2 linked regions of the Rattus norvegicus genome follow. The protein of the gene in region 2 interacts with the protein of the main gene of each other region in a pairwise test. Links are inferred from orthologs where the notes say so. Each region holds a gene or a part of one and is shown on either strand. Other genes may lie near its edges.

Region 1 (4,269 bases), about 21 Mb from region 2:
AGAAAAGCCTGTCTCTGTAAGTCTAGAAATGTCAATCACCCTTGTCGTCTTCCGCCAAACCCAGTCAATGCTGCCCCAGCAATGAACCTCTAATATGGCCCCTCTGCTCCCCTCCACTCTCTGTTCATCATTTTCCCTCGGCTAGCTTATCTTCTAGCGAGCGGTCTCGCTATGCGACACGTTACCCAAAAAGAGAAGTCCTATCTCGACATTCCTCTGGTGAAAGCAAAACCCAATCAAATCAGCACTGGGCTGGAATTAGTGGTGAGCTAAGCATATGTGAGGCCCTAGCAGAAAATTAAATTAAATTAAATTAAATAAAGACTACAGTTCCTCGGGCTCTTTCTTTCACCTGCTATACACAGTCTTCCACCGTCTCTTCTATTCCTCCGCAGCTCTACCTCCTGCCATCTAACCCACAGACATTTTAGAACAGGGCGTGCTTTTCCTTACTCATCTTTAGGATGTCCTTTCCCCACTTCTGTCCATCCTTCAGAAGGGCTGTCCTCAAATTTCCTATGCTATGGAGTGACTGCACTCCCTCCTCCACGCTGGCCAAGCGCTTTTAGGCTTTTAGTTGCTTGATGGTCTGAGTCATATCTATTATAGCGTTCCTGGGAGCATAATACCTGTTTTATATGTCTCACGGATCCCAGGAAACTTAGGCCATGATGTTGTCCCGATGGCTCTGCACAGTGACTTACACAAAATAGGCAGGGAGGGAAGGATGAAGAATGGAAGAGATAAGTGGAGTAGGTGAATGATGGCTAGGATAGACGGTAAGGGAGATGACAAAGTCTGAATGTTTTAAAGTGACACTGCAAAAAAAAAAAAAAAAAATCAAAGACAATACACCAGGGGGAGCTGAAGACCACGAGAACGCGGGAAAGGTAGGCCAAACAAGGCTGCAAGCTCAGGGATGAGCAGCGCATACCAAAGCAAGCATCATCACGCAACAGATACGGCTCACCCACGTGGGCAGCCCCTTGGTGCTCAGACCCAGACAGTGTTTGAGCTCATTCCCACCGCCCCCTCGATCCCGTCCCTCCTCCGCTACAGTGAAAGCAAACAAAGGGGAGGGATCCCTGCAGGGCTATGGATACCAACGGCCAATCAGCTGCTTCTAAACTTCTCGAAGGCGGCCGCCTCCATTTTAAGGGGCCCAATCTAGTTCCAAAGGCTTGAGGAGGGGCGGGGAGATCGAGAGTAGGGACGGCGCGAGGAGGCTTCCCCGAGGGAGACTGAGGGCGGAGGCGTGGGGCGGAGCCAGCTCGAAGAGGGCGGGCTGCGCCGCGGCGCGCGGGCTCCGGCTGACGCAGCTGGCCCCAGCTCCCCTAGACCCAGACCGCGAGGGGAGGGGAAGGAGGAGAAAGAGTGAGGACGCGCGTGCGCAGTGACTCGGGGAGGAGTGGGGACCTGGCAGCGGGTGAGAAGGCTGCGAGCGAGCCGCGAACCCGGCGGGTGGAGGGCGGCGAGCGCGCGCGCACCATGGGTGAAAAACCCGGGACCAGGTAAGGGAGGTGGGGCCGTGCCGCGGGGCATGGGCGGCTGCTCGCGGAGTGTGCCAGGTTGATCCACAGACAAGGACACCGGGGAAGAAACCCCGGGGCCGGACGCCTGGGTCCCTAGAGGGTAGCTGTCCGGGGCCGCAAGCCTAGGTCCTTGAGGATATTGGAGTGGGGGTGCGTGCTGGGGCTCCTGCAAAAAGCAAGACTTGATAGAGATCGGGAAACCCACGCCTGGGTTCTCACAGAGATGTAGGAGTCGGACTACTGGGTTCTCTGCAGGCTGTGATGCAGGGGCGGAGGAAGGAGGAGCAGGTGGCCGGCCCCGAGGGGTTGTGTGCTGGGAGACTGGATGCTGGGAAGGGATTCCCCTAGACTCGTGCCCAACCAATGGAAAGCCTCCTGCCCAATACCCCACAGTCTGATTGCTCCCACCTGTCCCAAGGGTCGGATAGCTCTGCTACCAAACTTCTGCCTTCTCCTAGGTTGCTAGGAGCAACAGCTTCTTGAGAGAGTAGAGTGCATAGGGACCCTCGCTGAAATTGGGCTTTATTCCTGTCCTGGGGAGAGAGAGAGGTAGTATCTGCCCTGGACACACATCCTCTCCCCGGATGTTTTCTGTGCAATCGAGGCTCCTTCCTTCCACTGATACCAGAGTTCTCTTTTTTGGTCTATAGCAAAATCCACTTCCTGTTGTGACCCAACACCCCCAGGAGGACATGGGGTGAATACTTGAGTTCCAAAGGAGCAAGAACTAAATAATAGGTTGGGGCCATGTGCCTCAAGCCAGAGAGGACCAAGGATAAGGGCCTGATTATGAACAGTGACTTCTGCAAAACATGAGACCAACCCCACCACTCCCACTGCCCTTAAGTATTAAGAAGACCAATATCTGAGAGAGATGCTTACAGGGAAGATTGACCTCCTAGATTTGAGGTTAAACTAAACCCCAGAGAAAGGAGAAGTCACTTACTTGGGGGGGAGGCCCCCAAATTTCCGTTGAGTACTTCAGGGAGGGAATAGATGGACCAAAGAAAGACTGCTGACTTGGCATAATTCCCTACCATCTCATCAAATTCTGGGCCAGAGGAAATGGCGAGAATGGCAGGAAGTACAAAGAGGCATCTGCTTTAGCTGCACCCCTCCAAGCTGGGTACCTCCCTGGTAATTCCCTTGCTCTGCCTTCTTGGCCAAGCACACTGTGCACGCTGCGCCCTCCCTAACCATGGCTGGGTAAGAGCAGGGCAACTGACGGAGATACAATGATTGTGTGGTCGTCACAGGTTCTGCCAGGGCTCCCAGTGGGGGAAAATACAAGACAGGAGGAAACCAGAAGTAGGAGAAAGAGCCAACCTAGGTGATGTCCAAGCTGTCAGCCCTAATTGGGACAGAAATTAGAGTGATTATTCTAACCGCCACCATGTCCAAATGTGCCTTTATTACTTGGGGATACTTAGGGCAGCCTATGTATATGCCATGTGACCCTAAGTGTGTGTGGCCCAGTGATGTATGGGCAGCTTGGCTTTGGGGAAGGAGGAGACAAGTGGTTTTTCCAAGCAGAAACTCACATAGTGTGTTGAAGGGAGGATGGAACTCTGGGCAGTTTTCAGCCTGTTATCTGGGGGCCCTTTCAGGAATTGCTCCGGAGCCAAAAGGCCTTAGAAGGGGTAGAGTTGTTCTTGGAAGAACAAGCCAAGGAATGGCCAGAGCTCTGGGGTCACTAGACAGTTTCCTATCCTCCTAGCCGTGGGTGGAGTCTAGACTTAGGTTGTTCTAGTGTCTGTACAGAAAAATCCCCTTAGACTTGACAAACTGTGACAGGCGAGCTTCACGACTTAGTGGTTGAGAACAGGGTCTTGAAACCAGGGTGCCTTCCTCAGGTTTATATCCGAGTCCCACCCTGTACCTTCTCTGTGACCTTTGACAAAATTCTTGTTTGCCGTAAAGCCGGGGTCTTTTAGCCTCTGTCACTGGGCGATAAGAGCTGTAAACGCAGTTGGTACAGTGCTAGAACACAGCAGTCACCAGTCAATGTTAGCCAGAATCACCATGTTTGTCACAGGATGCTACTGTGTGGGGACCACAGTGGGTTTTTTTGTTTTTGTTTTTTTTTAAGCTGCTGAGGTCAGAAACGGGGCTGTTGGAGGTTCATGAAATAGTCAGACTTGGGGACAGAAACATCTGAGGGGCAAAGACTCTGCTCCAGGAGTCACTGTGTGAGTCCTTGAAGCTAGAGGTCAGTTAAAGAGTTCATCTGAGTGTGGTAGTTCGTGCCCCTTCATCCTAGCACCAAAGAGACAGAGGTAAATGGATCTGAGTTGGGGCCAGCCTGGTCTACAAGTCAAGTTCCAGGCTAGCCAGAGTTACATACTAAGGCCAAGGTCAAAAGGGAGGGAGGAGTGTTAGGTGTGACCCAGACATTGTGTAGCCATCAGTTGACTCTTGGTTTCGGAGAGGGTCCCTCAGGAGAGCCTGAATAGTTGGCTGGGGCAAACAGTGGCCATTTACTATAAGCGGAGGAGTGAGTTAGTAACATCAACAGCAAAGAGGAAAGGCCTGACAGTTGGCTTCAAGAGGCTTCAAATACCGGTGGGAAGCAGTAAAAAAAAGCAGTGGGAAGGGTCGAGCAGGGATCCAGGGTGAATTCCATTTCTCTGGGGGGAGGGATAAATCCCGGCGTGGTGGTCCCTGCCCAGCCTAAGGGAGGCAGTGGGGTCTTCCTTTCTGTTTTGTTAGGGTCTTCAAGAAGTCGAGCCCTAACTGC
Region 2 (4,017 bases):
CTTGAAACCGGAGTCACAGATCTCTTCAAATTCTGCCGAGATTCATGGGGCCTTCTATTCTCCTGATCTTCCTATATGCAGAGCCCGATTCCCTGGCTATTCCTTGGCATCCTACTACAGCTGTACCACTTGTCAACTACTGTCAGCATTTTTCCAATCCCTTATAGGCCAGTCCTCAGCCTAACCTGTTTAGAGCTTTTCCTCAGTGCGTTCAACCTCTCTTGTCTCACTTGCAGTCTTTCGATCAAAGCTCAGAGTAGTCAGAACCCTAAATTCTGTGCTTTCCAAACGTCTTATTCACCTCAGACCTTCTGGAACCTATTTGAGAGACAGAGGGCTGTAGGAGCGTCAACAAAAGCAGCAGTGTCAAAGACCGCTGTATAGAAGCCCTTCAGCATTGGAATGACGCCCTCCTCATCCCTCTACACCAAAGCAGAAACTTGTTCCTTACAACAGTCCTCTTTAGGTCACACCCCGCCAATCCCCTCACTGACTCACCAGCGTCATGGTCACCGTTTCTCCAGCCCCCACCCTCTGGACATCTGGCTGCATCCTTGTTATGAGCCCACTCAGTGTGGCTTACGCAGCGCATCCGCCTTAGTGAACAACAAACCCCAAGGCTCTGTGGCTTGTCCTCCCTCCTCCTCCCGGGCCGTTATACTCCAGGTTCCCAATCTTGCCCAGGTCTCCTGTCTAACCCGGTTGTTTCCAGTCCTTTTACCCCCTTTTTTTCCCAGGGGAGAGCACGAACGATTATGCAGTCGAGTTTCCAGCATTTGGAGAAATCGCAGGGCCGCCTCTCCACTTGCACCTGCTGCAACAGAGCCTGACTAGGCTCCTACACTGTAGCAAAGTCACGCTTCGCCCCTCCCCAGCTCTCGCTCCTCTTGGCCCACCCTCTCCGGCGCATGCGGGTCCCCTGGCCCTGGAAGGCGGGCTCAGGAGCTGGTCCTAGATTGACTTGGATCCCTAGTCCTCTGCGCACATTGGCAGACGCGCTTATAGCAAGCAGACGGCCAGGCGGGGAGCCGCCTAGGGGGCGCCACTTTGCACTAGGGTATCCAGAGCGCGCCACTGGCCTCGCCCACACCAACCCTCAGCCACGCCCTTACTGCCCAGCCTTGGCCCACCCCCAGTCTCGATTGGCCCCGCCTGCCTAGATATCCTTGTTCTGATTGGCTGGCCTGAGAATCCGTCAGACTGAGCGCGGCGGCGGCGGCGGCGGCGGCGGCAGCTGCGGAGCTGAAGGGAACCCGACCGGAAGGGTCGCTGCGCCCCGCGCCCCTCACACCCACTGCGGCGGCGACGGGGCGGAGCAGAGCGGGGCGGGGCGGCCGGGTCCGGGTCCTGGAGCTGGGAGCCGCCAGAACGCATCGCCGCCAGCGTGCCCTCCCTCTGCCTCCGGCGCGGCGGCGCGGAGCCGAGGTGAGCCCGGCGGGCGGCTAGGCCTGGCGGGGCTGCTCGGGCCGCGAAGGCCTGGGGTGCGGGGGGTGGGCTGCTCGGCACTGCCTGGCTTTCCACGGTTCCGCAGTCGTTCTCTCTCGCCTGGTGTCTGCTGCCCAGGGCTGCAGGCCGGCTGTCTGGCCCGGGCCCAGCAGACCTGCCCGCAGGAGTCTGTGGGCGCCTTCTCTCCAGCTGTGAGGCATGCTGCTGTACTCCGCTGCATGCCCTGGAGTCTGGGCTCTGATCCCCGCGACCTTGGCGGTGACTCTGACCCTCACTGGCCCTCTGCTTTCCCCTCCGCAGTAGTGGTAAAATGTCTAGGGTTTGGTTGGGGGTTGTTATCGGGCAGTGTAACTGTCTCAAAGCACTAGGGCAGAGAAGCCTAAGGCGCACAGTTGAGGGCGTCCGAGTGGGTAAATGCTCCCTTACTGGCACGAGTGTCGTAGGAACTCTCATCCGCTTAGAGTCCTCCCCCACTTCTCCCCCCAACCCCCGCCCCAGTGCCTTGTCATTCATCTTCAGTGCCCAGCAAAGAGCCAGAGTGGGCCCTGCCCACCTCCTCTGCCACTCCCTTCCCTCCTAACAAGAAGCAGATCTCTGCTCTCCTAGCCTATTCACCTCACCTGCTTTGGACATGCCAAAAATCATTTATTTACCTCAGGACCTTTGCACTTTGACTTTTCCATGTTCGGAGTTGTCTATAAGATTTTCGCCCTGCTGTCTCTTCTCGTATCACTTCCTCCTGTGGTTCAGTGTCTTGTTATTGGCGAGGCCTGCCTTGACCACCCTTTTCCCTCGCTTAGTCATTCCCGTTCATCAGTTTAGTTTTCCTTCCAGCACTGACTCTGGTTTGATGCTATCTGATTTATAGCCCAGTTTTTGTATAGCACTGTGAATACAGGTAGTTGTCTGGTATATTGACTCTCGTCTCTAGAGTCAGATCAGTGAATGAGCAGTAAGACCATCCCTGCCTATTATCTCTGCTTTGTCCATTTTGTTGGTGACTTTTAACTTGTGAAACTTGTAAGCAAACAGACTCTTATTCTCATTTTGTGAAATGTTTTAATGTTTTTAATCTCTTTCTAGCACCTGTCAGAACAATTTGTGATTAAAAAAAATTACATTTTTGCTAAGAGTTTTGCTCGAGCTTCCTTCCACACGTTCAGGAGTTATCTACTGAATTCTGTATTATCTAGGTCATGCTTTCTGCTGGACTCTAAGGACACAAAGGAGATAGCAACAGGGTACCTTCCCCCAGAGAGTCCAGGAGCCCCGTAGACACAGACTGGCAAGCACACAGTTCTAGGACAGGATGTGACACCAGCTGTAGTGAAGGGTCTGTGCCCTAGAAATGGAGGGTGTGGGGTGGGGGTGCTGGAGGGCCTTGAGCAGGGACGGACACAGAAAGTGAAAGGGCAAGATCAACAGGGAACTTTGCTCAGCCTGTGGCCAAGAATTAGCCCTCCGAGGCAAGCGTGGCATTGTGGAGTGCTGGAGACCCCTGGAGGTCCAGAACTTCGTTCAGCCTTTTTTTAAGAGCCAGGATTCCAAGTTTGTATCCGGACTCTGATATTTTAGCGTTGGCAATAGCTAATTAAAACGAGCCATTTGGTGCCCCGCCAAATGCGGACCTCATGCAGCACCGCTAACCTCCTGAGCAGGCAGTGTGGGAGGGAGAAGCTTCGAGGAGCAGGAACAGTAGCCTGAGGCCAGAGGAGCTAGGCCCTGTTCACCCAGATACCAACCAGGTTCCACAGAGGAAGAAATGGAGGCCCACAGTGCTTCAGTAGTCTGCTTCAGCGCAGGCAGCCAGTGAGAACCTGAAACCAGATTGCCCCTCCATCTAAGGTTCTCAGCTCTCTTTGTGTTTGCCTTCCATTAGCCAATCTATAAACGTTTCTCCTCTCCTTTCAGGAGAGTCCTGCATAGTTAAAAATAATTGTTGTTTTGGGGGCATAATCTCTAGAGACCTTTTGCTTTCCTGAGGTTTCAATTTGCAGGGTCTCAGGACTTTATAATTACTCGTTAACAGATGCTTCGCTCTATCCTTTAAATAAATGGCCAGGAGTGTACTTGAATGTGTCAGTTTCAAAAGAAAAAAGGCTTAACCTTCTGTACTAAGAGAAATGCCAAACGGATTAGTTATTAATGAGTGAACCAATTTTTAAAAGCTTATTATATATAGGATAAAACAAAATCTGATTTTAAAAGAAAAGTATTAATTGGTCAGTAGGGCTGCTATTTTTGACTAAATATGAAGTTATCTTTTACACCTGGCTAGGAAGGCGGCAATTTTATTTTAAAAACAATAATTCTTAATGGTTTGTACTTGGCCACCGTGTGAGTTGGATTTCAACAGCAGCGTTTAGTTGTTTGTGATGGGGACTTTCAGATTTGTTATAAAGTGGATGGCTTTACCAGCGTCTACACGTTTTAACTATGGCAGTCTCTTTTCATCCCTGATCTCAGAGCATGTAAACTCTCCTCACGTTGTGTTGAAGCAGATCCTTGACATCCCGTCATTCTGTCCATGAACTTTTTAGTCTATTTCGCTAAAACAAACAAACAAACAAA

What was found.
Region 1: the proteins of Mapk9 (region 2) and Arrb2 interact in binary tests that used the Homo sapiens proteins (3 or more experiments, as listed by UniProt). The two-hybrid records come from large-scale screens. The link is inferred for Rattus norvegicus from reciprocal best matches to the Homo sapiens genes MAPK9 and ARRB2.

Annotation. Positions count from the first base shown.
Region 1 is NC_086028.1:55,644,192-55,648,460, forward strand, and holds the start of Arrb2 (beta-arrestin-2), read left to right. Parts: upstream 1-1,410; 5' UTR 1,411-1,488; coding exon 1,489-1,511; intron 1,512-4,215; exon of another isoform or gene 4,216-4,241; coding exon 4,242-4,269. UniProt on the Homo sapiens protein: Functions in regulating agonist-mediated G-protein coupled receptor (GPCR) signaling by mediating both receptor desensitization and resensitization processes.
Region 2 is NC_086028.1:34,669,559-34,673,575, forward strand, and holds the start of Mapk9 (mitogen-activated protein kinase 9), read left to right. Parts: upstream 1-1,214; 5' UTR 1,215-1,425; intron 1,426-4,017. UniProt on the Homo sapiens protein: Serine/threonine-protein kinase involved in various processes such as cell proliferation, differentiation, migration, transformation and programmed cell death.